Linked DNA regions of Canis lupus familiaris. The protein of the gene in region 5 interacts with the protein of the main gene of each other region in a pairwise test. Links are inferred from orthologs where the notes say so. Each region holds a gene or a part of one and is shown on either strand. Other genes may lie near its edges. The genes, in order: LDOC1, CARD9, ERH, NEK6 and TASOR2.

What was found.
Region 1: the proteins of TASOR2 (region 5) and LDOC1 interact in binary tests that used the Homo sapiens proteins (3 or more experiments, as listed by UniProt). The two-hybrid records come from large-scale screens. The link is inferred for Canis lupus familiaris from reciprocal best matches to the Homo sapiens genes TASOR2 and LDOC1.
Region 2: the proteins of TASOR2 (region 5) and CARD9 interact in binary tests that used the Homo sapiens proteins (3 or more experiments, as listed by UniProt). The two-hybrid records come from large-scale screens. The link is inferred for Canis lupus familiaris from reciprocal best matches to the Homo sapiens genes TASOR2 and CARD9.
Region 3: the proteins of TASOR2 (region 5) and ERH interact in binary tests that used the Homo sapiens proteins (3 or more experiments, as listed by UniProt). The two-hybrid records come from large-scale screens. The link is inferred for Canis lupus familiaris from reciprocal best matches to the Homo sapiens genes TASOR2 and ERH.
Region 4: the proteins of TASOR2 (region 5) and NEK6 interact in binary tests that used the Homo sapiens proteins (3 or more experiments, as listed by UniProt). The link is inferred for Canis lupus familiaris from reciprocal best matches to the Homo sapiens genes TASOR2 and NEK6.

What each region holds. Positions count from the first base shown.
Region 1 is NC_049260.1:112,048,514-112,052,588, reverse strand, and holds LDOC1 (protein LDOC1), read right to left. Parts: upstream 2,337-4,075; 5' UTR 2,190-2,336; coding exon 1,746-2,189; 3' UTR 922-1,745; downstream 1-921. UniProt on the Homo sapiens protein: May have an important role in the development and/or progression of some cancers.
Region 2 is NC_049230.1:49,108,835-49,113,532, reverse strand, and holds the start of CARD9 (caspase recruitment domain-containing protein 9), read right to left. Parts: upstream 3,364-4,698; 5' UTR 1,904-3,363; intron 669-1,903; 5' UTR 668-668; coding exon 430-667; intron 209-429; coding exon 71-208; intron 1-70. UniProt on the Homo sapiens protein: Adapter protein that plays a key role in innate immune response against fungi by forming signaling complexes downstream of C-type lectin receptors.
Region 3 is NC_049229.1:43,500,696-43,505,647, reverse strand, and holds the start of ERH (enhancer of rudimentary homolog), read left to right. Parts: upstream 1-2,010; 5' UTR 2,011-2,025; coding exon 2,026-2,184; intron 2,185-4,760; coding exon 4,761-4,848; intron 4,849-4,952. Other genes in the region: SLC39A9 (zinc transporter ZIP9), read right to left, coding at 929-1,024. UniProt on the Homo sapiens protein: May have a role in the cell cycle.
Region 4 is NC_049230.1:58,758,701-58,763,393, forward strand, and holds the start of NEK6 (serine/threonine-protein kinase Nek6), read right to left. Parts: upstream 3,189-4,693; 5' UTR 3,078-3,188; intron 364-3,077; exon of another isoform or gene 132-363; intron 1-131. UniProt on the Homo sapiens protein: Protein kinase which plays an important role in mitotic cell cycle progression. Required for chromosome segregation at metaphase-anaphase transition, robust mitotic spindle formation and cytokinesis.
Region 5 is NC_049223.1:29,220,537-29,224,741, forward strand, and holds part of TASOR2 (protein TASOR 2), read right to left. Parts: intron 3,066-4,205; coding exon 2,186-3,065; intron 710-2,185; coding exon 280-709; intron 1-279.

The DNA.
Region 1 (4,075 bases), on a different chromosome or scaffold from region 5:
TACCTAAACTGGAGATGTTAAGGTAGGGCTGGCTCCAGCTATGGTACAATGAGTACATTTGGGCAGATAGAGATGAGAACTCTGAATCCCTCACATCTTCCTAAATGTTCCCGTGGCAGAGGCAGCTTCCACAAAACCCACTACCGAATTTATCTGATTTCACATTTCAAAGAGTTCTTCTCAGCACCCCCACCCCACTCCCTGAATGCCTCGGAGCCCTCCAGGCCCACAAAGAGGTCTCAGCATAGCCCAGATAGCAGTACAAGGTCTAGTTCAGGAGACAGTCAGTCTCCAATTTCCATAGGCAGGAATCTGGGACATATGTATGGGTGGGGATTCTAAGACAGTGCACCCGGGGTGCTGAAATGTTAAGATCACGCTCTATTTAGTATGGGTTCACTCACACAGGATCCAGGGCTTAATGTCAGTTCAAGCACCTGAAAGGGGCATTAAAACAATATGCTACGTAGTTAACTGAAGTCTGAACTCAACAGCGCCCCGCGGGCAACAAGACTTAAGGGACAGAATTTCTCTGGCAGTGTTGAGTAAGGAATCCAAAGGCTCAAGAAGATAATAACATTGTATGTGTCCAGATTTATGCCTGTTGTCCTAGTCTAATTATTAACAGTGTCCCCCTTTAACTCTCAAGTGTCCCAGTTTGGGATGGTGTGCCACCTGCTCAGCCACCCCTTACCCATGCCACCCTGGAGGCCCCAGAGGACACTCACTCCTTTTGCCAGGGCTTTAAGAAATGCCTTGGTGAGGAGAGTACCAGAATTCCTAGAAAACCCTGTGGTAGTTGTCCTCTGTAGCCTAGAGATGACAGTGGCGAATACTGGGACTGAACTAAGTTCCCTGACCTCAGGGGGCATAACGGGAGTCAGAGTGAGATTGGAAGAGGCCAATGATAGCACTTAACCATTAAAAGACACTCCTTTCTTTATTTTTGTAGTGCTTGATATTTATTGAAAAGAACGTAAATGCTTTTTTCCAGGTGGTATTGAGGAGCTGGGCTGAGTGCCTGTTTTTGTTTGTTTGTTTTGTTTTTAGTATTTCTGTCCAAATGCACACATCTGTTGGGACTGCTGCAGTTTGGAAAGAAAAAGGACAGCTGTGCAAAACTGGTGCATAGGAGAAAAGAAATGTCAACAATTTGGCTGCCAGGCGCACTAGGCCCCTGCAGCAATCTGGTGGGGAAGGGGAGGACCCTGGGAGTAGGCAGGGAACTAACCAGGTTGAAAGACTGGCCCCTTCAGGGGCTGGTGAGCTGTCCAAATCAATGTCCAAGGACATAGAGCCAACTCAGGCATCTTCTAGGTTGGTCCTTATTTTCAAAGGCTGTGTTCTGTCGCTGGAATGTGGTGGACGGTGGTGAAGTGGCAGCGTAGGTCTCTGGGCAGATGGAGGCCTTGCAGTCGGCAGGGCAGGGCTGTGCGTGGTCTGACCAGTTTGTAACAGGGGCCTGCCCTATAGCTGGGGCTCAGGACACAGTCCAAATCAGCAGGGGAGGGCCCCGGGGCTGGCCAGAGTGGGTGGCGGCGCGCTTCCGAGCGAGGCCCCAGCAGCAGGTAACCGGAACAAAGGCAAGCACTACAGGGGGATGACGGAGAGAACCGGAGAGCTGGGGGTAGGGAAGGGGATGGGAGGGCGGAAGGGCGCTGGGCGGCTCCGGGCCGGGCAGGAGAGGCGGGGGAGAGGATGGCGGCGTGCAGGGCCCTCCCCCCTGGGCCCGAGGGTCTCCCGGCCTAGTAATCATCTTCCTCGTCGTCGTCGTCGTCGTCTTCTTCGTCGTCATCCCAGCCAAAACACTGTTTCATCTCATCGAGGAAGGCCCGGTAATCACCTAGGATGGGGCTATCCATCTCAATGTAGGGCACCACCCACTCCTCGGCTTCCCCGGTGAGCAGGCTGATTAGGAATGCCACCTTCATGGCGTCGTTGCAGAATCGGTTCTCGTTGACGAGCATGTAAGACGCCGTCTGCACGATAAACTCGGGGAGCCGGGAGCTCTCGCCGCTAAACGTTTCGGGGAAGGGCACCGGGCAGCTCGGCGGACGTACCTGGCGCAGCAGGGTGGCCCTCTCGCACACCAGCAGCCGCAGCTGTTCCATGAGCTGGCTGTTCTCGATGCTCAGGGCGCGGTGCCGCATCAGGAGCGCGTGCAGCAGCAGCACCAGCTCGTCCACCATGGCGAACGGCTTGCAAGCGCAGGGCTGGGCTCGGCTCAGGTGCGCACGGAGGCCTCGCAGGAAGTGCGTGTCCGCCGAGGCGCACGGTGGCCAGGGGCGGAGGGCGGTGCGCGCTGGGGTCCGGCTGCTGCGCAAGCTCCGCCCGCACAGCCACTCGGGCGGCCGGCGCGCCGGCGCGGCCCGGGTCGGGGGGCGTGGTCAGGGCGCTGCCGGCGCCGCGAGGGGGCGGGGCCGGGGCGGGGCCGGCGGGCCGGGGGCGGGGCCGGGGGCTCGGTCCAAGGGAGGGGGCGGGCGGGAGCCGGGGGCCCGCGGCCGGAGTTCCCGAGGCCGGCGCCCGGGAAGGGCAGGCTCCCGCGCTAGAGCCCCGGATGTGCGCCCCGGGACCGCCAAAAGCCAGCTCAGAGAGGGCCAACCTGCTCAACTTTAAAGGATCGGTCACGCTCGGACTCAGCCGACTCACACAGTGCGGGGCTCCTTGGTGGGTCTGTGGCTACGAGATTCCACCTGCGCGTTTCGGTGACACACGTCCTCGCTTATTGAAATCCCACTCACCCAGGGAACTGCTGGCGCTGCGGCCTGCCCCGCGGGAGCCACGCATCCTTTCGGAGTTGCGAAAGACCCTTCCTTGGGGCTCCTCTTTGAAAACAAAACAATATCTAAATGGGGTTTTTTTTTCTTTAGTTGGGAAACAATATTGTATACCTACATCCTTTTTTAAAAAGTATTTTTTTCTAAACAGTCAAGTATAAAAACTTCTGCAAAAGCACCACTGGAGAACGATTTGCAGGCTCTCGCCTCTCTTTGACCCTCTGTTTCATGTCCTGTTAATGCCCCTTGGCCCTCGGTCGCATGTTGTTTGTTGCTTAACAATGAACACTTGTGTTTTTAAATGCTTTGGGCTTTCTACTTTGAACTGGATTATTTAAATCGTTGAGTCCAGGACCCTAGAGCTGAAATTTTGTTGGCTCTGCTTTTAAAATATATCCCCAGATCAGTCACTTCTCCCACTATACCACCCTGATCCAGCCTTCCTTATCCCACCCAGACTGCTGCAACTGCTTAGCTTTCACTCTTCTCTTCCTGCAGTACACACAGGAGTCCCTCCTGATCCACGGTTTTGCTCTCCGGTGCTTTCAGTCACCCGTGCCAAGGGTGGTTTGATCCGGAATCAGCTGACCCTCCTTCTGACCTGGCACCAGAAGATCAACCAGTAGCCTGGCGTCGGATCACTACGCATTCTATCATCTCACGTCATCACAAGAAGGGTGAGTACAGGACAGTAAGATACTTTAAGAGATATTTTGAAACTTGCATAATAGTTATGTGTTACAAACATTCTATTTTATCACATGAGCTAGTAATGTCTTAGTGTGCCTAACTTATTTAAATTGTATCAAGTACGTATAGGAAAAAATATAGTCTATATATAATTCAAGACTATCCTCAGTTTCAGGCATCTGCTGGGGATCTTGGAACAGATTCCCCTGTGGATATGGCCAGGGAACGAGTGACTCATGTCTCAGGGCAGTGGCTCATATTTCTCAGTGCCCACTCTCTCCAGAGAGTAGGCACAGGAATCCTTTTGAACAAAAGTGAGAACTTTTTACTCCCCTGCTCAAAATCATCCCAACAGTTTTCCACTCTCACTTGAAATAAAAATAAAATAAAAATAAAAATAAAAGCAAAGTCTTGGCTGTGGCCTGCAAAGCCCTGCCTCATCTCCTGTGCCTATTCCCATTTCCTGTTCTGCTCTAATCACAGTATTCTTCTTGCTTATTCTCCCCACATTATCAAGTAGCTCTGGCCTCAGGATGTTTGCATTTTCTGTCTTCTCTGCCTTGCGAGGCACTCTCCCCAGTTAGCTGCCCGACTCCTTCTCCCACTGT
Region 2 (4,698 bases), on a different chromosome or scaffold from region 5:
TTCCTTTTGCCCCCAGTTTATCCATCAGGAGCTCAGCCATCCAGCCTGCCCATGGGGCCCCCTGCCTCACCGATGATCATGGAGAAGACGCGGGTGGGCTCCTTGCCCGTGACCTTCTTGTAGAGCTGGGGGTAGTACAGCTCCAGGCTCTCAAGGAAGGCCACATAGCCCTTGTGACCGGTCCGCTGCAGGATGTCCAGGAGCACTCCTGAAACCCACAGGGCCAGGCTGGGGCTGGCTGGGCTTGTGCACTGAGCTCCTATAGGCCCAGCCCAGGTCAAGATCTACCTGCTGCCCACGCACCCTTGCCCTCCCAGGGGTGTCTGCTGTGCATGGAAGCACCACGGCTCCCAGCAGACAGGACAGGGTGTGGGGTGCTGGGGAGCGCCCATTCCTGTGCTCAAAGCTCCCGGCTGAGGCAGCACTGACCCACTTTCCGCTTGCGGATGACCAGGTTGGGGTCACTGAGCACCTGCTCCTCATCATCGGGGTTCAGCACCTTGCATTGCCTCAGGTAGGGCGTGATGCGCGAGGGGTCGATGACGGAGATGAGCTTCACTCGGAAGCTCTCCAGGGTACTCCAGCACTGGTCTTCGTTCTCATAGTCTGACATGGTGGCGGCCACCGCTGCGATTGGTGGGAGAGCAGCTGGCAGGGACAGTTGCATGCTGGGCCCAGGGGAGTCCAGGACAGGTAGGTGTGAAGCCTCACCCGCCCTGGCCCTCCCTCCTCTGCGCTGGTGCTCTGACCGGGGCACCAGCTCAGCCAGGGCAGCCCTCCCGGCCTTCTCTAGACCCTGCAGCCACTCCCTCAGCAGGTGACCTAGGCTTTCTCTGTCCAAGTCACCCTGATAAGTGTGAGGGAAGATGTGGAGGCGCTTCAGGGACTGGCGGCATCTGAGAATACCCCCCCCCCCACTGTGGCCTTGTTCTGGCCTCTGCACCCCCATCCCTAAAGCGTGAGTCTGGCAGACCACCACCTCGTACCCACTGGCAGGGCCTCCCTGGCAGGTACAGGGAGGTAGGCGCCCAGGCTGGGGAGGCACGCCTGGGGCATTGACCTGCCCACGTACACGCCAGCCTGTGCTGCTGTAGGACTTCCTCCTTCTTGGACATGGCTCCTGCTCAGGGCCTAGCCCCACCGCCTCCTCTCTTTCCGGCGGCTGGCTGGTGGTGCAACAGTGGCCCAGGCACCGGCTGGCTCAGGAAGGGCAGCTGTGGACCGCTGCACCAGGAGGGGCCCAGCTGCATTGGCATGGCCAGCACCCACGCCGCTCCTGTGCCCTCTGCAGACTCCTAGGGACCAGGCACCAGCCACCTCTGGGCTCCTCTCCCTGTTCCTGGGCACGCAGGGTGCCAGCTCCCTGACCAGGGCCATCCGTGTTGGGACTACCCACTGCTGCTCCCTTCCACTGGCGGGCACAGACCACGCTCGAGGCCTGGGCCAAACCAGGAGCCTCCTCCCAGTGGTGGGGACAGAGACCCTGACTTGCCACCTCAGACTGCCCTCAGCCAGCGTAGGAACTGTGGGCGGAGGTTTGCCACCCAGAGGAGCTAGGCCATACTCCCAGAGACAGACGGCAGCAGGCAGGGCCTCTGGAGGAGCTTCCTGAACTTCCTGCAGCCCTTGGCCACACCATCCAGCCAGAGAGACACCAGCAACTCAGTGGATGGCCCTTGGAACGTTCAGCCCGCTTCCTGCCTTTCCCACCTACATCCACAGGTCCCACACCTGACCCCTGCCTCTAATTCCACCGAGCTGAACAAGCAGGTCTCAGGTGGCTGTGAAGGACAGGGCAGGAGTGGAGGCCCTGGGTGCTCTTCTGGGGTATGTGCCCCAGGAGCCCTGAGCAGAGAGATGGGTGTCTTCCTGGCCACCCTGAGAGGGCAGCCAACCAGCCTACCTCAGGGTCCTCGAGAGGCACCTGTGCAGTGGACACTGGTCAGCCCAGGCTGGCCTGATCCGATGAACAGGAGGTGCTGCTGGCAGCCCAGTGGAGCTCAGGAGGAAAAGCTGTGCACTTCCTGATGGTGCTGCTCAGCTCCACAGAGCCGGGAAGGTCCTCCCAGAGGGAGTGGGTCCTTGGGCCTGCCTTCTGATTCGCCCGCCTGGCAGGGCCCAAGAGGCGGGGCAGAGGGAAGTGGAAGTCCTGCTCAGAGGCCTGGAGGCCCACCCCTGGCATCCACTAAGTGGAAGTGTGAGCAAGGACCCTCCCCGGAGCTGGATGAGGCCAATGCACTGTCTAGTCCGCTCTGGCCTGAACGCAGGCTTCTGGAGGCTTCTCCACCAGGGGCTGGCTGGGAACCTGCAGCGTGGGCCCTCTGCAAAGTGCAGGAGATCCCAGGGCTTCAGGCCTAACTCTGGGATTTCAGCCAGATGCCCACACACACAGTAGGCCAGCCGGGCCTTGATCACATGAGGGCTGGTGTAGCGTCCAGAAGGCATGTGGCTGGAGACCCCACTGTGGCCTGTCCGTGCTTGCCCCACATGGCCACCGGCCCCTGCTACACTGCACACCCTATCCCTTCCTGGGAGTGTCTCCACTTAGCAACCTCTTTACTAGGACACTCGGGACTGTGACAGCAGGCTCCCAGGCCACTCATCATGGCCCCGCAAACCAGTTTCAGAAGGGCTGTTTCTGCCATCAGAGCTGCACCCAATAGCCAGGATAGCAGGCCTCCAGACCAGGGTCTGCCAGGAAACCCCCAGGCCAAGGCCTCACTGGCGCAGCTGGGCCGGTTGGTCCAAGTTGTTGGCTGCCAGGCTGAGGCAATTGCTAGGGAAAGGCCAGGATGGTCCTGAGCAGGGCTCCCAGCCCCACCTTCCCATGGCAGCTGCCTCTTGCCTGACAGGCTCCCCGCCTGTAGGCTCTCGGACCTCTGACCCTGGGTGGATGGAGGCTGCCATCGCGCTTCCAGAACAGCCAGTCCTGGGCCCTCCAGGAGCTATGACCAGCAGTGTTTCCCTGCTCTGCAAAAGCAAATTAATAAAGGGTGTCTCCCCCACGGGGGTGTTGGTAAGAATTCAATGACAGAAATGTTCTGTTCTCTGTATCAAAAGCCAGAAATCAATAACAAAAGGCTAACTGGAGAATCCCTAAACGTTTGAAAATAAAATAAGAGACCTCTAACTAGCCATAGGTCTAAAGGAGCCCCCAAGGAAAGCAGAAACGAGCTGAAAAAGCCCCAGGTGCAAACTGAAAAGCTAAGAGCTTGTGCATGAGGCTGCACGGTGGTGGGTCAGCCCCCTGGTGGGTGGGTACAGCACCCCAGGGCATGCTCACACCTGGAGAGCACAGGCATGAAGCCTCTAGAACCAAGCACCTCAAAAGGCTGCACACCAAAGCCAAGGCTGTGCACCGCGTCCCTCAGAGCACCAAGGGTGCTGGGGCTTGGCCTCCCACCAAGAAGCAGCTGCTCAGGAGGAAGGCAATGCCGGCCTGGGGCCGCTGCGTGACTTGTGGGCAGGCGGGCAGCCGCTGGTTCCAGATGCCTGCCTGGGTCGGCGGTGTGGTCAGGAAGGCAGTGAGGCAGGTCCACCCCATTCCCTGTGGCCCCACCAAGGCAGCAGCTGCCTGGTAGCTCTTGGCAGGCCCTGGGGCTTGAGCCACAAGCGTGTTCTGTGCAAAGGGCACTCCCCACGTCCTACACGGTGGCCCGGAGCTCAGGGGGTTCCTCAGACCTCAGGGCCCAGCCATCCGGGTCCTGGCACGGTCAGGGGAGCCCCAACCCTCTGCCCAGTCTCTTAAGGCAACAAGAATCTGGGGCTTGCCTTTTAATAAAAAAATAAGCCATTCACTTTATTCCTTCAAACATTCCTTCCGATTTGTGCTGGAGGACTAGCCAAGCCCCAGTGGCTTCACGGTCACACGGCGAAGCCTCCCCCAGCCTCCAACTGCTTTAGGCTGCTTCCTCCGGGAGGGTTGGAGCTGGGCTCCACAGGCAGGTGGGCTCACTGGGGTCCAGCATGGCTCCCGCCTCCTGGAACACAGAGATGCCCAGATGGTGGGGACACCCTGACCCCAGCCAGACCCCAGAGATGGTGCTGTAGGATAGGAACCAAAGGTGGCATTAGGCCTCCTCCGAGGGCGCAGAACCGGGTCTGGCTGCCCACCTGCAGTCCATGCAGGGGGCCATGCTGAGGGCAGGCCCTAGAGCCTGGGTGGGCTTCTGATGCCCCCACCCCCACCCCCAGCATCCCCTCTGTGGACCCTCTCAGGGCGCAGCCCCACTACACTCGCAGGAGCTGGCTCCCACCTCTGTAGACCAGACATCTTCCCCCACATGGGATCTCTGCACCATGAACTCAACTAATCCGTACTGAGGGCCTACTTGATGCCTGCTCTCTGGGCACTGAGGACCCGGCAGCAAAAACCAAATCATATCACCGCCCTTAAGGGCTCACGTTTATGGCAGACACGCATGTAAACCATGTCGGGTGTAGAAGAGACAGTGCTAGCAAGACAGACATTGACAGTGGTACTGCCCCAAGAGAACAGGCAGAGAGAGCATCTCTGAACAGCCAAACACTGAGCAGACATGATTGGGATAAGGGAACAAGCCTTACAGACATGGACGAAGGCCAGGCAGAGGGGACAGCAGTGCAAAGGCCCCGAGGCACACGTGGGTCAGCAAGAAGGAAGCACCAGAGCCTGGAGTGTGCAACCCAGTGGGCGAGGGTGTAGCTAGGGGAGAGGGA
Region 3 (4,952 bases), on a different chromosome or scaffold from region 5:
AGTTAAGAACAATCTGATTTAGGGATGCCTGGGTGGTTCAGTGGTTGAGCGTCTGTCTGCCTTTGGCTCAGGTCCTGATCACAGGGTCCTGTGATCAAGTCTTGCAGGGGGCTCCCCACAGGGAGCCTGCTTCTCCCTCTGCCTGTGTCTTCGCCTCTCTCTGTGTCTCTCTCATGAATATATAAATAAAATCTTTTTAAAAATCTATTTTTCTCATCTTCATTCTAACACAAAAAAATTCAAAACGCCGGAAAACTTTTGGATTCTAATCCAAAAGACTACCTTCCCCCCCACAAAAACTATGCTTTATTTTCTCCAAATGAGGAGTAATACTGATTTCTACGTATATGGACAAATAATAGTCTCCATTTACATTTCTTGAGAGCAACTGGAACCTTGATTCCTTGGAATCCCTGGGAATCAAAAGAACGTTATGGTGCTTCTTTCCAGGAAAATACACAGAGCCCTAAATTTTTGTATGCAATTTCACAAGATTCAGAGTACCCCAGGATCTCCAGGGGGTCTGCCCACCCCACGTTAAGGACTCCGATGCTTAAAATAAGGTTCCTTTCTATTATGAAATTCTATGTATCTTTTTTATTTTTTTAAAGATTTTATTTATTTATTCATGAGAGACACACAGAGAGAGAGAGGCAGAGACACAGGCAGAGGGAGAAGCAGGCTCCATGCAAGGCGCCCCATGCAGGACTCGATCCCGGGGCCCCAGGATCCTGCCCTGGGCCAAAGGCAGGTGCTAAACCGCTGAGCCACCCGGGGATCCCCTCTATGTATCTTGTTAGAAGACAGTCTTTCTTAGTAAGACCTTTAGCTCTGAGATACGTTGGGGAAGCAGCTTCCCTTTCTTTACAACTTTCCCTACTTCCTACCAGCCATCCTGAAAGCTGACAGAAAATTGAGAATTTCTTACCTCAGAGAAATTAACAGCCAAGGGAACGATTCCAGCCACGTAACATCCCACCAACATAGCCAGAGAGAGCAGACTAATGGAGATGAAATCATCCATTCTGTCCTCCTTTATTTGCCCACCGCCACCAGAACTGCAAATTTTCAGGGGCCTCAAAGGGTCCTTAGGTTCTTAAACGCGTATAGTGATTCCAACAGAACAAGGGGACTTTCCAGGTCGTCCGTCCTCCCCACTAGATGTGTTCAGAAACCCCTTTCTCTGGAACGCGCCTGGAACTAGCCCCTTTTTGCTGATATTAGCACCAGAGAGAACTTTCATCAATCTCAGGTCCCGGCCCCTGCGTTTTCAGATGCCAGTCACTGGATTCCCTGGGGTTTACGGTTAAAGGTATGCAAAAGAGCGATTTCTTCAATCGTCGGAGGGGTGGCACAATGGGCCCACTTCCTCCACGGACAACGTCCCAGATGGCAGCAAGAAAAAGGAAAACTCGAGCAGACTTGTTCGTTCTCCCGGCGCCCCTACGTCCCCGGGGCAGTCTTCCCCCAGGCTGGGACCAGCCCACCAGTCCCGGCAAACTCTCCTCCGAGTCTAGAACGGGCAAAGAGTCCCGCAGGTCTCTAACGATGGGCTTAGGGGTTCAGCAGGGAAGCTGATACAAAGCTGTCTCTGCCCTATACCCGGTGCTGCCCATATTACTCCACTCCGCTGGGCCTCGACCCGGAGCCACCGATACTACAGCTGCCATGGCCGCCAAGTGGCACCTCTTCATTACATCCACTTCCGGATTGCTTCACCGCCCCCTCCTTTAGAAGAGTACTTCCGGGTTACAACCGACCTATGGCCCGGGATTCTTAGGCTACCGCCATTTTTGAGTAGGGCTAATTAAAGAGGTCTGGTGTCAGAGTCCATATATATCTGTGTTCACTCTAGTCGTGCGTCTAATGGCGAGAATATGGAAGACCGTGTCTCGAGAAGAAACGATTTTTTTTTTTGAGAAGAAACGATTATTTTTCCAGTTCTGGAGCAATTACCTGTATCTAGCTCCTCGCCCTTATCCAAGATGGCTGAGCCAGAGTCGGTATCCGCTCTAGCTGCCGGAAATGTGTTCGCTTCTATGGTCCAAAAGGCTCTTTCGCGGTGCGTTTCTGACGACTTCCGGCGGCTCCTCTCGCGGGGATTGGCTGTTGGCGGCGTTGCGGCTAAGCTCGTGTGCGGCGGCGGTGTCGGCAGCGGCTGCGGCGAGAGAGTTTGGCGCGATGGTGAGAAAGGCCTCGGCGGCTCCCCGATCCCCCGGCCTCTGAGGCGATCCCAGCCGTGTACATCTTGTCCCCAGCCCATCCAGCGCGAGAGTGCAGCTCCCCGGCCCGCCAGCTTGTGGCGCGACCTCTCCCCTTCCCGCCGCGGGGCCGCGGGGCCGCTGGGCCTGGCGCTAGGCCCCGGAGCCCGGGTCCGCCCGGGTCCGCCCGGGTCCGCCCAGGTCCGCCCTGCGTTTGCGCGCCCGCGGCCGAGGTCCGGCGAGGCGTGCGGTGCGGAGGATGCGCTTCCTCCCGCGAGCTGCGTGGGGATGCTGCGCTTTTCCCCCAGAGTCTGGCCCGATGTGGGAACAATGGCCGAGGGATGTCTGACAAACCTGCGCCTGAAGCTGACAGATGGGGTGTGCTGCGCCCAGCGTGTGGGCCGGGAGGGGTCGTCTTTGCTTTGTAGCGTGCTTTCTCAGGCATCCCCTTTTGTTTTGCTGGGCTCCGTCCTCAAACAGACATACAACGTTTCTTTCCCCTCTTTTCCGAGACCCCAGAGGCCTGATCTGGCGTTTCTCCCGGCCCTCAATCCTGTTCTTACTCATTCTCTCTGGGACTCAAAGCTGAAAAGAAGATGGGCTCAGCTGAGGGTCCAGGTTCCTTAGAATCGGATCGGGGTGGTAGTGCAGTGAGTGGGTATTTTGTTCGTGTTTTTGTTTTTTTTTTTTTATTTCATTTTTATTTACTATTATTTTTTTTAATTCCGCCAAAAAGAAGGTGATCCACAGGGATTATGAGGAATCGTGGTTCTTCCGCACTTCAACCTCGGTTTTCTGATCGCTGGGGTTAAACGTTAACAGGTTACGCAGCTGTTGTTAACAAGGAACTCTCTGAGGTTGCACCTTTCTGAATTGAGGTGTTTTTAAGTGTTTGACCCAACGTGGTCTCCCAGAGGCGACTGAGCAATCGGAAGGCTGGGTCTCCAGTTCTTTCTTGTTTCGTCATAATTGGCAGTGTGACTTTTGGAAGACTCTGTATCTCTGAGTTTCCCTTCTTTCTCTGCCCTTTATGTCACTCTTTGGTAACGTGTTATAATGGTAAGATTCAAATCTGAGGAAGGGACAGCAGTTAATACCAACGGAGCCTTTCTGGGTGAGCAAATAGCAGTGATAATACCTTCTCAGTCCAAGTGGCTTTAAGAGCTACGAATTTGTAGATAAAGCAAACAATTATTGGTTCAGTCGTCGTATGTACTTCTGCTTTATTAAAGACAAGCTTCAAGGGGTGGGGATTTTTTGTGGGGTTTTTTGGTAGTTTGGCAGAAGCACCTGAAGCTAATGACCTAGTCCTGTGTATTGTAATATTTCTGTAGCAGTAGAAGGATGACTCAGTTCATGTGTAAGAATTTTAAGAGTAGGACCAGATTAACTATTCATTAAAGTGGTTTACATCTGCTTGGTAATCAGAATAAGGATTTTATTAAAGTATATCTGTGTACCTTTTCCTGACTTAGGTTTTGCAACCTTATTTTTCTGTTGTGAGAAGTATATATGTATTTGTTTACGTGTACTTGTATTTTGCATACATATTTGTTTTTTTTAATAAAACCAAACGGCTTTGGAAATAGCTCCAGTAAAAAGAAAGTGACCAAAACTGGTTTGGGAAGCTTTCTGGTCTTAAAATGTTAAAAGCAAAATACTGCCACTTAAAAATAATACCCATTTCAGCTACAGTTTTGTAAATTTAGTCATTTTTTTTCTTCGTTTTTAATCGTTGTCTTTGAGTACTAAGTATTGAAAATAGTGAGCTTTCTCAGAAGTTCACTTTAAGACTAGATGTAAAAAGTAGCGTATTGAATAGCCGTTTGCATATCATTACTTTTTTGAAGTAAATTAGTCCCTTAATTTTCATCAGAATGAGAACAAAATTAAATAGTAGTGACTGATACGACTACTGTGACTCCGTTATTGTGCTAAGGATAGAAAAAGAACATAGATCCACTACTTACAGTCATAAATAGTATTTCTCTTTTTCTCAGCCTACTTCTAAATTTTTATTAAAGCACTTAATAGGGGCACCTGGGTGGCTCAGTAGTTGAATGGCTGCCTTTGACTCAGGTTGTCAAAGTCCCACATCGGGCTCCCCACAGGGAGCCTGCTTCTCCCTCTGCCTATGTCTCTTTCTCTCTGTATGTCTCATGAACGAATAAATTTTTTTTTTTTTAAGGCACTTAATAGGGCTGGAGATAGAAAGTGACCAGTGGAGATAGAAAATCTAAGTGGGTTTATAATCTAGTTGGGAAGAAAGGAAGAAAAAACAGTAGAAGGTAACTCATGCTGAATGCTTAGAGGCAGTAAGTACAACAGTTGCAGAAAGCAGCCCTTAAGGACAGGGAGTCCGAAGAGACCTTACAGAGTTGTTCAGCCATCATCTGACACCACACTTGAACAAAAGCATAAATGTAAGAAGAGCACCCTGATTAATAGTGCATTAATAACCAATGATCATTTGTGTCATGACTAGAGATTTTATATCATACTATGAATTTCTCAAATATGAGTTAGAAACTTAAATTGAAATCCCTTTTCTCCCTGCAGTCTCACACCATTTTGCTGGTACAGCCTACCAAGAGGCCAGAAGGCAGAACTTACGCTGACTATGAATCTGTGAATGAATGCATGGAAGGTGAGTTTAAGCACTAATGAAGAGTTTTTATTTTTGTTTTCTTGATCTTCACTATTAGAATATGTCTCATTTAGGAACTAGGCTTGTTTTTCCTCCAGATTTCT
Region 4 (4,693 bases), on a different chromosome or scaffold from region 5:
AATGGAAATGAACGAGTTAGAGAGAGAGGCACAGGGCTAAAGTGGCATGTGACAAGAAGCCTATGTAGAAACAACCCTGTTGTCAGATATTCAGACGCAGAGTCAGGGCCCTGGATGTAACGCACCCTCACCTGGGGTCAGAAGCCTGGGGCTCTTCCCGAGGGCAGCGCCCCAGCCTCTTTGCTCCCCACAGAAGCCTGGAGATGCCAACCCGCATTTAATCTTGGATGACTCACCAGGGTCTTCCACTCTTCACCCTCTAACTCCCTTGCTTGGTCTGACCCGAGAAGAGGAAGGGAATATTCTTCTCTTTTTGACAATTGTTTTGACACTTCCCTTCTGAAACCAATCTTTGGCACTTCATGAGGACAGAAAAAAATGTGAACTGCAGCCCTTTCTATCTGACAGTCCTGGCCCTAGGCATGGGTCATCCACCGCCGAGGGGCAAGAGTAGACAAGGAAGGAGGGCAGCACTTCTGGGAAGACGTCTCCCAGAAGCCCAGAGCCTGGTGAGGAACCTGGCCCCGCAAGAACCTGGAACACAGTGACCTTTACTTTCTACGTCCAATGGAAAGATGGAGGGCTCTGCTCAGACAAGCCTGACTTCAACCGCACAGCATCCTGTGATCTTTGGCACATGATTTCATCTGTGTCCCCAGTTTTCTCATCTGTAAAATGGGCACCATGATAGTTCTGTCTCTGTGCTGCCGGGTGGACTGGGTGAATTTAGGTACTTACAGCTTTCGTGCCTGGCATATGGGATGCCCTCAACAAATGGTGGCCATTAGTTGTGATGCTACTTTCATAAAATTATGCCTCGTATTCCATCTCTCTGAGCCTCAGTTAGGTCATCTGTAAAATGGAGATGACAACCCCCAACCTCATGGGGAAGATGAAATGAGTAGATGTGTGTGAAAGCACCGAGCACCCAGCCTGTGCACCTTCAGAAGACAAGTTATCAGGCCCCTGGTGTGGAGGGCAGACTGGAAGTCAGGGAGGTGACAGGATTCTGCCTCTACCTCCTCTCAGCAGTCCCAAGACACAGGGTTGACAGAGACACAGGTCTCTGTGTCTCTGCGCCCACAACTACTAGGAGGATTAAAAGTGCACACAGTAGGTGCTCCGTAAGCATGACTTCCCCTGCCCTTCCCCTGCCCCCTCCTCGCTCAAAGCCACTGGAAACGTCACCTGGCAAAGCCAGGAGCTTCGATTCTTGAAACCCGAATGATCTGAAATGGCTCAGAGCCCAGACCAACCTGGGCCACTGCTTCAGTCTGAGACTTTATTTTCTGAAGACAGAAACTACTTTTAGTCATTTCCGAAGCAGACAGGACGGCAGAGGCTGACAAACCACAGGGACCATTTTAAATCCTGGGCCTTTTCTTCTGGGAAGTTAGGCAAGAACCTTCCCAAATGTTTGCCCGTGGGGCTCTCTGCCAGGGAGTGACTCATCCACAGCTCCCCACAGGCATATTTTATTTGGGGAGTGGGGGATGGAGGGAGGGCCTGGCCTTGAGGGGAGAAGAAGAGGCAGCCTTTCCAGCAAACCCAGAAGGTGGGTTGGGTTTTGTTTTGTTTTGTTTTTTTCATTTCTTTTTAGGACAAAAAAGAAAAAGAATGTGGATCTTTTTTGTTTCCTTCCAGGTTTTGTTTGCTAAAAGAAGACGTCCAAAGTTCACTCAGTAAGCTGCTGCGTTGGGAACAGGCGCCTCCAGCCGCTCTGCATCCCTTTCAATGAAATTCTTCTTCCATTAACACCACGATTTTTAAATGTGCCTCCAAGATCTGCCTGCGCACGACATTTTCTCCTCAGAAAGTCTAGCTGAGTTTTGAAAATTCAGGGGGACGAGGGAGTTCAGTGTTTCTGAAGTTGCCCTTAAAGCAATCGAGACTTTTTTTTAAGATTTGTTTATTTGTTTGTTTACTTATTTATTTATATGAGAGACACAGAGAGAGAGAGGCAGAGACACAGGCAGAGGGAGAAGCAGGCTCCATGCACCGGGAGCCCGACGCGGGACTCGATCCCGGGACTCCAGGATCGCGCCCTGGGCCAAAGGCAGGCGCCAAACTGCTGAGCCACCCAGGGATCCCCAATTAAGCCTTCTGACTGCAGAGATTTTCAACATTTCTAAAGCTCCCCCCAAAACTGTGTCAAAGCTGCGCAGACAGACCTTGGAAATCAGTGTCCCAAGCCTGCTGTGATCAATTTGTTACTGTCTTGGGGGCTCATGCTTGGAGCCCAGGCTCAACAAGTAAATAAGTCAGATGAATACGCATCTAGTCGACAGAGCAGGCAGAGACAGGGCGAGAGACCCTCAGATACACAGACAAGTGTCCTGGCACCCCTGGCCTTCCCAGGGTCACCGTCCCCCATCCCCACCCCCCAAGGCCCGCGGGAAAGATGAAAATCTGCCCGGGCCAGAGACCGGAAGAAGAGGAGCCAAGGGACCCAGAGGGGGGTGTTCAGGAAGAACTGAGGCCGCGTCCTCTAGCAGCAGGCCGAGGAGCCCTGCCCGCCGCAGCAGAGCCGCAGCCCAGCCTGAGCATCCTGGGGCCCCACCGAGGCCCGGCAAGGAGGCCTCCCCGTCTGCGGGGCCCAGCCTGGCTCTGCGGGTCTGACCTCCGCCCCCCTTCGGCGCGCGAGGCCCCGCACCCGCCGGGAGCCCACCCCGGGCCTAGTTCCCTCCGCGGGCTCCCTGGCACCCGGGAGGGAGCCGCCTGGTGGGTGCAAGGAGGTGCCCGCCCGCGTGCGTGAGAAACGCATTCACACCCTCCCGGACGCAGGGTGCATGTTCGCGTGCACGGACACGTACACTTTTGTCCTCAAAGGCTCCCAAACGCGCCCAGAAGTCACTCGTGAGCACTCGCGCACGTGCACACACGCACGCCCGGAGCCTGGAGCACGGCTCCCCATCCCCACGGCACGGGCCCCGCGAGCGCTCGGCCCCGCGGGAGCCCCGCCGCGCCCCAGCCCGCCCGCGGCCCCGCACGCCACCGGCCGGGCCCCCGCGACGCGCGCGCCCCCGCCCCCGCCCGGCCCGGTTCCGCCCGGCCCGGCCCGGCCCCAGGCCACTCACCGGCGCGCGGGCGGCTCGGCTGCCTCGGAGGAGCGGCGCGCGGGCGGCCGGAGCGGAGCGGGGCGGAGCGGGGCGGAGCGGAGGGTCCCACACTCGCGGCCGCACGCCCGTCCGCCCGGTTCCGCCGCCGCCTGCGCGGGCCCGCGCGCTCCCGCCCCTCCCCGCCGCGGGCCCGCGCGCTCCCGCCCCTCCCCGCCGCGGGCCCGCGCCGCCCCCTGCGCTCGCTCCCGCGCGGCCGCCACGCTGGCCCGTGGGCGCCCCGGGGAGACCGCAAGGCGCCCGGAGCCCCCGGGGCCGCGAGACGTCCGCGCAGCCCAGGCGCCCCCTCCCCGTTCCAAAGATGGGGAGACTGAGGCCCAGACCCTGCCGGCGAGTCGGCGCCAGCAGACCCCCCTTCACCCCTAGTCCCCGGGCTCTAGACGCTCAGGGCTGGGGTCCGCACTCAGCGAACCGGGGACCCGCCCCCGCATCCCTGGGTACCCCCCGACGCGGCCCCCTCCACGGCCCTGCGCACCCTGGGTAGCCAATCAGCTCTTATTGCGCGCCTACTGGATGCGGCGCACGTTTAGGAGGAAGCTCCAAGGGCATCTCCGCCTGCTGAAGGTGCTGCCCCCTGCCCTCAAAGCGCCAGCGTCTCCTTATATGGAGCTCCCCAATGCCTGTGAACCCCGAGATAGGGAGAGTCGAGGTGCAAAGGTTTCCGGGAGAAGGCCCTACTGAGTGGGTAACACCCTCTCTAAGGAGACAGAGTCTCCATGGGGCCCCGAAGGCTGCAGCTGGCCTCCTAAGGGAACCTGCGCGCCCCCTTCCCCCAAGAAGGGCTCCGGGCCGGCTCGCTCAGCTCCCGCCTCCTGCATCGGCCGCTGCTCCTCCACAGGCAGGACCGTGCGGTGTCCCCCCAGGACGCCTGGAACCAGGAACTGACACTGACCACCTGCCGGCTGTCCAGCTTAGTGACAGCACCGTGCCGAGCCCGCAGAGGACCCCCCGGCGCTCCACCTGGCTGCGACCTGTGACAGTAACGACACCCGTAGGACCCCCGCCAGGTGTCATACTCACAACCGCACAGCCATTCTGCGAAGGAGGCGTTATGCCACTTTCATGCCCGTTTTACAGATAAGATAAATGAGGTTTAGAACAGAAGCTGAGAGAGCCCAGTTCTCTTGCTCAAAGTCACCCAGTTGGTAAGGGTTGAGCAGGGAGCTAGACCACAGCACAGACTAACTCCAGTGCCCAGTCTCGGCAGTCCCACCTCATAAACAACATAGCTCTGGACTGCTGGTATAAGAGGGCACGGGGGACAGCTGGCACAGACGGCCCAGCCCAGTCCCAGCCTTGCCGTGAACCAGCAGGGACAGAACAGGTCATTCTACACGTTGGTTAGCGGTTTGGTCGGGGACCTACTTACAGTCTCACTTCACATGATACGCATCACAACAGATATCAGATAGATTGAAGAGGTAACTCCAAGAAATAAGCGTTTCAGAAAGTGATAGAAATAAATAGAAGTTCTGAGACAGTGTGTTGCAGTGTTGCTGGCAGGCCAATGATTAGGGACCGTATCAATGCAGTAAACATTAATTTCCTCATTCAATCACCTGACACTTATCTACGAG
Region 5 (4,205 bases):
ATTATACAGTAAGTGACACCATTATGGTTGGCTCTCAGACCCATCTGACACCCACCTTCTCTTTCTACTACTACTACTTCAATCAGGGATGGAGAAAAGCTCCACCTGCAGACAATCCACAGTGACACTTACGGAAACAGTTTTTGGTATTATTAGTCCTTTACATAGACAGGGAATCCACCTTCCTAAAACAAACCAATGATATGTTTTGAATGTGATTTTACATATCTAGAAAAAAAAAATCTTCACAAATGTCAGCATATACTCAGCTTTACTTACCTCATTTTTACAAGAATAAATGAAATTCTGGCTTTCTGGGGTATCTGGATGACCCTCTCTTGGAAAAATGTCTTTCCGTTCCTTCTGTACCCAGAGTTCCAAGCCTCTTGTGGGTGGAGGTTTAAGGAAGGGAAGCAAGGAGTTGGTGTCAGGGAAGGACACCTCGGCAGCGTGACCTCTGGGAGTTTCGTTGGTCTCCAACAGAGGGTCCACAGGACATCTTTCCACATTGGAGGACTCCTCGATTTCACTGAATTCTAATGATTCTAATGTGCTATTTATAGACACATATTTTGCTGGGTTGCTGTGTTCTACCACTTTTCGGGATGACCGTATGACTTTGTTCTGATTGCTGTAAAACAGAGCTACCCACATATGAAGCAAAAGCTTCACTTCTTCCACGTTATCAGGTAAGTCAGTGTTCCAGGGCCTGAGATTTTAAAGAAAAAACATGCAAAAAAAATCCTGAAAATGGTGATTTTAGTTGATTAAGTGCCTGCATTTTAATCTTAGTTTTAAATGTGTTCATTTTTTTTTAAATGTGTTCATTTTTATAGTAAAAATACATGAACATGAAATGATGAATAAGATAAAAATGAAGTTCATTTAACAAGGAATTACAAAAAAAAAAAAAAAACCAAAAAAACAACAAAAAAAGTAATTACAATGAATCTAATCCACTCATTTTATAGAGGCAAGAAAGGGAACTGAAACTCAAGAGCTTTGAAAAGTGACTTCCTTCAGATCGTAGACCCCTGACGCAGCAGAACCAAGACTGCAACAGAGGTCTCTGGCCTCCTGGGCTAGGATTTTTCTATTACTCTAACTCTCTCTGGACACAATATGCCTATTATGTGAATAATGGCTCCAGCAAACACCCAAATCCTCATATTTGCCAGGTTTGGCCAACTCATTTCTTTTCCATTTTTGTGTTTCTTTTTTTTGTGTGTGTGTTTCTCTTCTAATAGTTGGGAAAGTCTTAAGGTTAAAATACCTTAATTCAGATTACAGTCCTGAAAAATCTCCTGAAACCATACAGCCAGGCAGGATTAAGGCTCAGGACATGACCCTCTTGAGTAGATGGGAACACTTAGTGTACACTCCTATGGGCCTGAGCTTGTGACCAGAGCATGGGAAGAAGTCTAATACAGTTTAGTTGCTCCTAGGTAAGACACTCCGTGAAGAGGCAGCTGAGTGCCTTTTCACATAGCTAGTGCTCCTTGCAAATAATAACGGCTACTGCTTACCAGTTTGTGCCAGTCACTGTGCAAAACCCTCACATACACAACACCCTGACTTGTAGCTATTACTAAACTCATACTTAAAAGCACTGGCCAGGGGACCTGGATGGTTCAGTGGCTGAGCGTCGGCCTTCAGCTCAAGTTGTGATCCTGGGGTCCTGAGATCGAGTCCTGTATCGGACTCCCTGTGGGTAACCTGCTTCTCCCTCTGTATCTCTGCCTCTGAATCTCATGAGTAAATCAAATCTAAAAAGCATTGCCTACAGACTGTCATCCTCCATTGGCATCACTTGGAAACTTGTTAGAAATGTACACTCTCAGGGCCTGTCTCAAAGAGACCTGAGTTAAAATCTGCACTATTAAGATCTCATTTAAATATTATAATTCAAAGACCATAAAGGCTTTCATAGGAGTATCTCAAAATAGAAAGCTGTTCACTAGGCTAAAGTCAGCCTGCAAAAGGTCTCTGTGGGACCACCAACAGTGGCAAAACCAGCCTCATTTTCTTAGTTGTCAGTAAACATGACTGCTTGATAATATCACTAAGTTACTGGATTCACACACAGTACTTCTCTTTCCCCAAAGTCTAGTGCAAATACTCCTTCCCACCACATTTATCAGCACAAAAGTCACATCCATCTACCTTGAGCATCACTCTTACTTACCCATGTAGTGCTCTTATTATGGTTTTCTCCAGGGGGTTGTTGGTGTATTTGCTGTCTAAGCTGAATGCATATTCTGAGTCACATTTGAAAGTGACCTTAAAGGAGCCATCACAGCTATAAACAGTATGAGAGCAGTAAGAATCTTTCAGGCTGGAGGACAGCAAACTACCCTTGCGCCTGCACCCCGGGTCCTCAGACAGCTTCTGCAGAGGGGAGGTGCTGTGCTGGTGCCGGAATGGCATTACCTTTCCCACCGGGGTCCCTGCTTCAGGGCCTTTTGTGCCATTCTTGGCGAAGGCAGGGCCTGTGATTCCCCTCTGCTGTAGATGCTTCTTTGAATGTTCTGCAAGGAGCAGGGCGTAGGAATGTTCCACAGCAACAAAAGAGCTTTGGCTTGCATCACTAGTCTCTAGGGTTTCCTCAGGAAGTGCTGATGGGGCTTCCATAGGGGGCGGATCACCAGGAACCCAAGTCTCTTCCATTTGGCTGATGGTGGAATCCAATGTTGGATTACTCTTTTTCTCAGAGGAAGGCTTAGTTAACAGTCCACCTTTTTGATTCTTAACACCTCTGTGATATTCATGGTCAGACGTACCACGCACAGAATGTTCTTTAGAAAGCAGAACATCATTCTGTGGTGATTCAGAGGAGCAGGGAAAGTTCCTGGGCTCCGATGACGGCGTGGTAGAAGTAGCAGCACTTAAGGCTAGGTCAGCTAGCATATTTAGGGCTTGGGAGTCACAGTTAACAATAGAGTTTTCAGGGAGGTCTTTTTGAGCCACTGAGATTCCTTCCGTCTGAGTGGCATTTATGCTAGTAACATCTTCTTGTCCAACTGATGAGATTTCTGATGGCAGTTGTGAACCAGTTTCTCCTTTTGCTTCAGTATAAAAGAAAAGGAGGACATGTAACATTTGATTTCCGTATATTTTAATTCTCTGCTATAGTACACTATGGCTTATTGAAAATTAATGGTTAAGTCACTATATTCAAGAAGAACCTCTGGACAGGTTACACAGATTATATGTTGAAATATTCCTATCAGATAGGTTTCTTCCAACTGCCAGTTCTAATATAATGTATTTATACCACAGGAACAAATCTTAAAGAGCATGCATATTGATTTAAAAAGAAATCATCTTTCAAAAATGCATGTATGTAACTATACACAAAGTATACTGCTCAGCTAAAGAAACAAAGAGGAAAAAAAAAAAAAAAAAGACCCGGACTCCTGCCCTCATAGAGCTTACAATCTAGTGCGAATAGAAGGATTTCTAAGTTTGAAGTGTATATTATATTATGTTAACACACTTTTACAAAGCACATCCCTTAAGTGCTCTGTTAGAGAAATCACCTAAGTTCAAGCTACAGACAACTCTTAACCATATTGGTATTTCATTAGAATATGTAACGATACAAATAAAAAATCAGAAGTCATAGGATTATTCATTTAGAATCACCAATTTCATCACCTTCTAAAACTTTAAATTCTGTACTGAAAACATTTCCTCTCTACTCTGTCTGCAAACAGCAGAAAGCTGACCCTCGACAGCAGCCTACTTGCATTCCCAGGATGTTAGTTCAGTCTCCTGAGAGGGGGCTATTATGAAGGACAGAGTTCGCAAGAATACTAGGCAACGATTCCCCACAGCAGGTGCATGGACAGAAAAGCCAACTGTGTTTTTCTTTGTAACAGCAGCAGCAGGTCTGAAATGAATTATTAACCTGCCTGCAAAGGCCAATGATTAATCCATTTAAAGAGAAAACCCTGGTCTGCGAGAGTCATCAGAGTGTGTGTGTCTGTGTGTGTGTGTGGTGGGAATGATAAAAGTAATCAACCACTGTTTACTTTTTATTTAAAAGAGCAACCCCAAGAGGAGTAGATGGAAGGAAGGGACCCAAAGCAGAGAATCACCTCATCAGCCCCATGGATCTGCTGGAAGCACAAAATCCATTTTGTGATCTGATGATGTGTTTATTCACTGTAATTTCATTCCATTGTGGTTAACACTATGGCTCT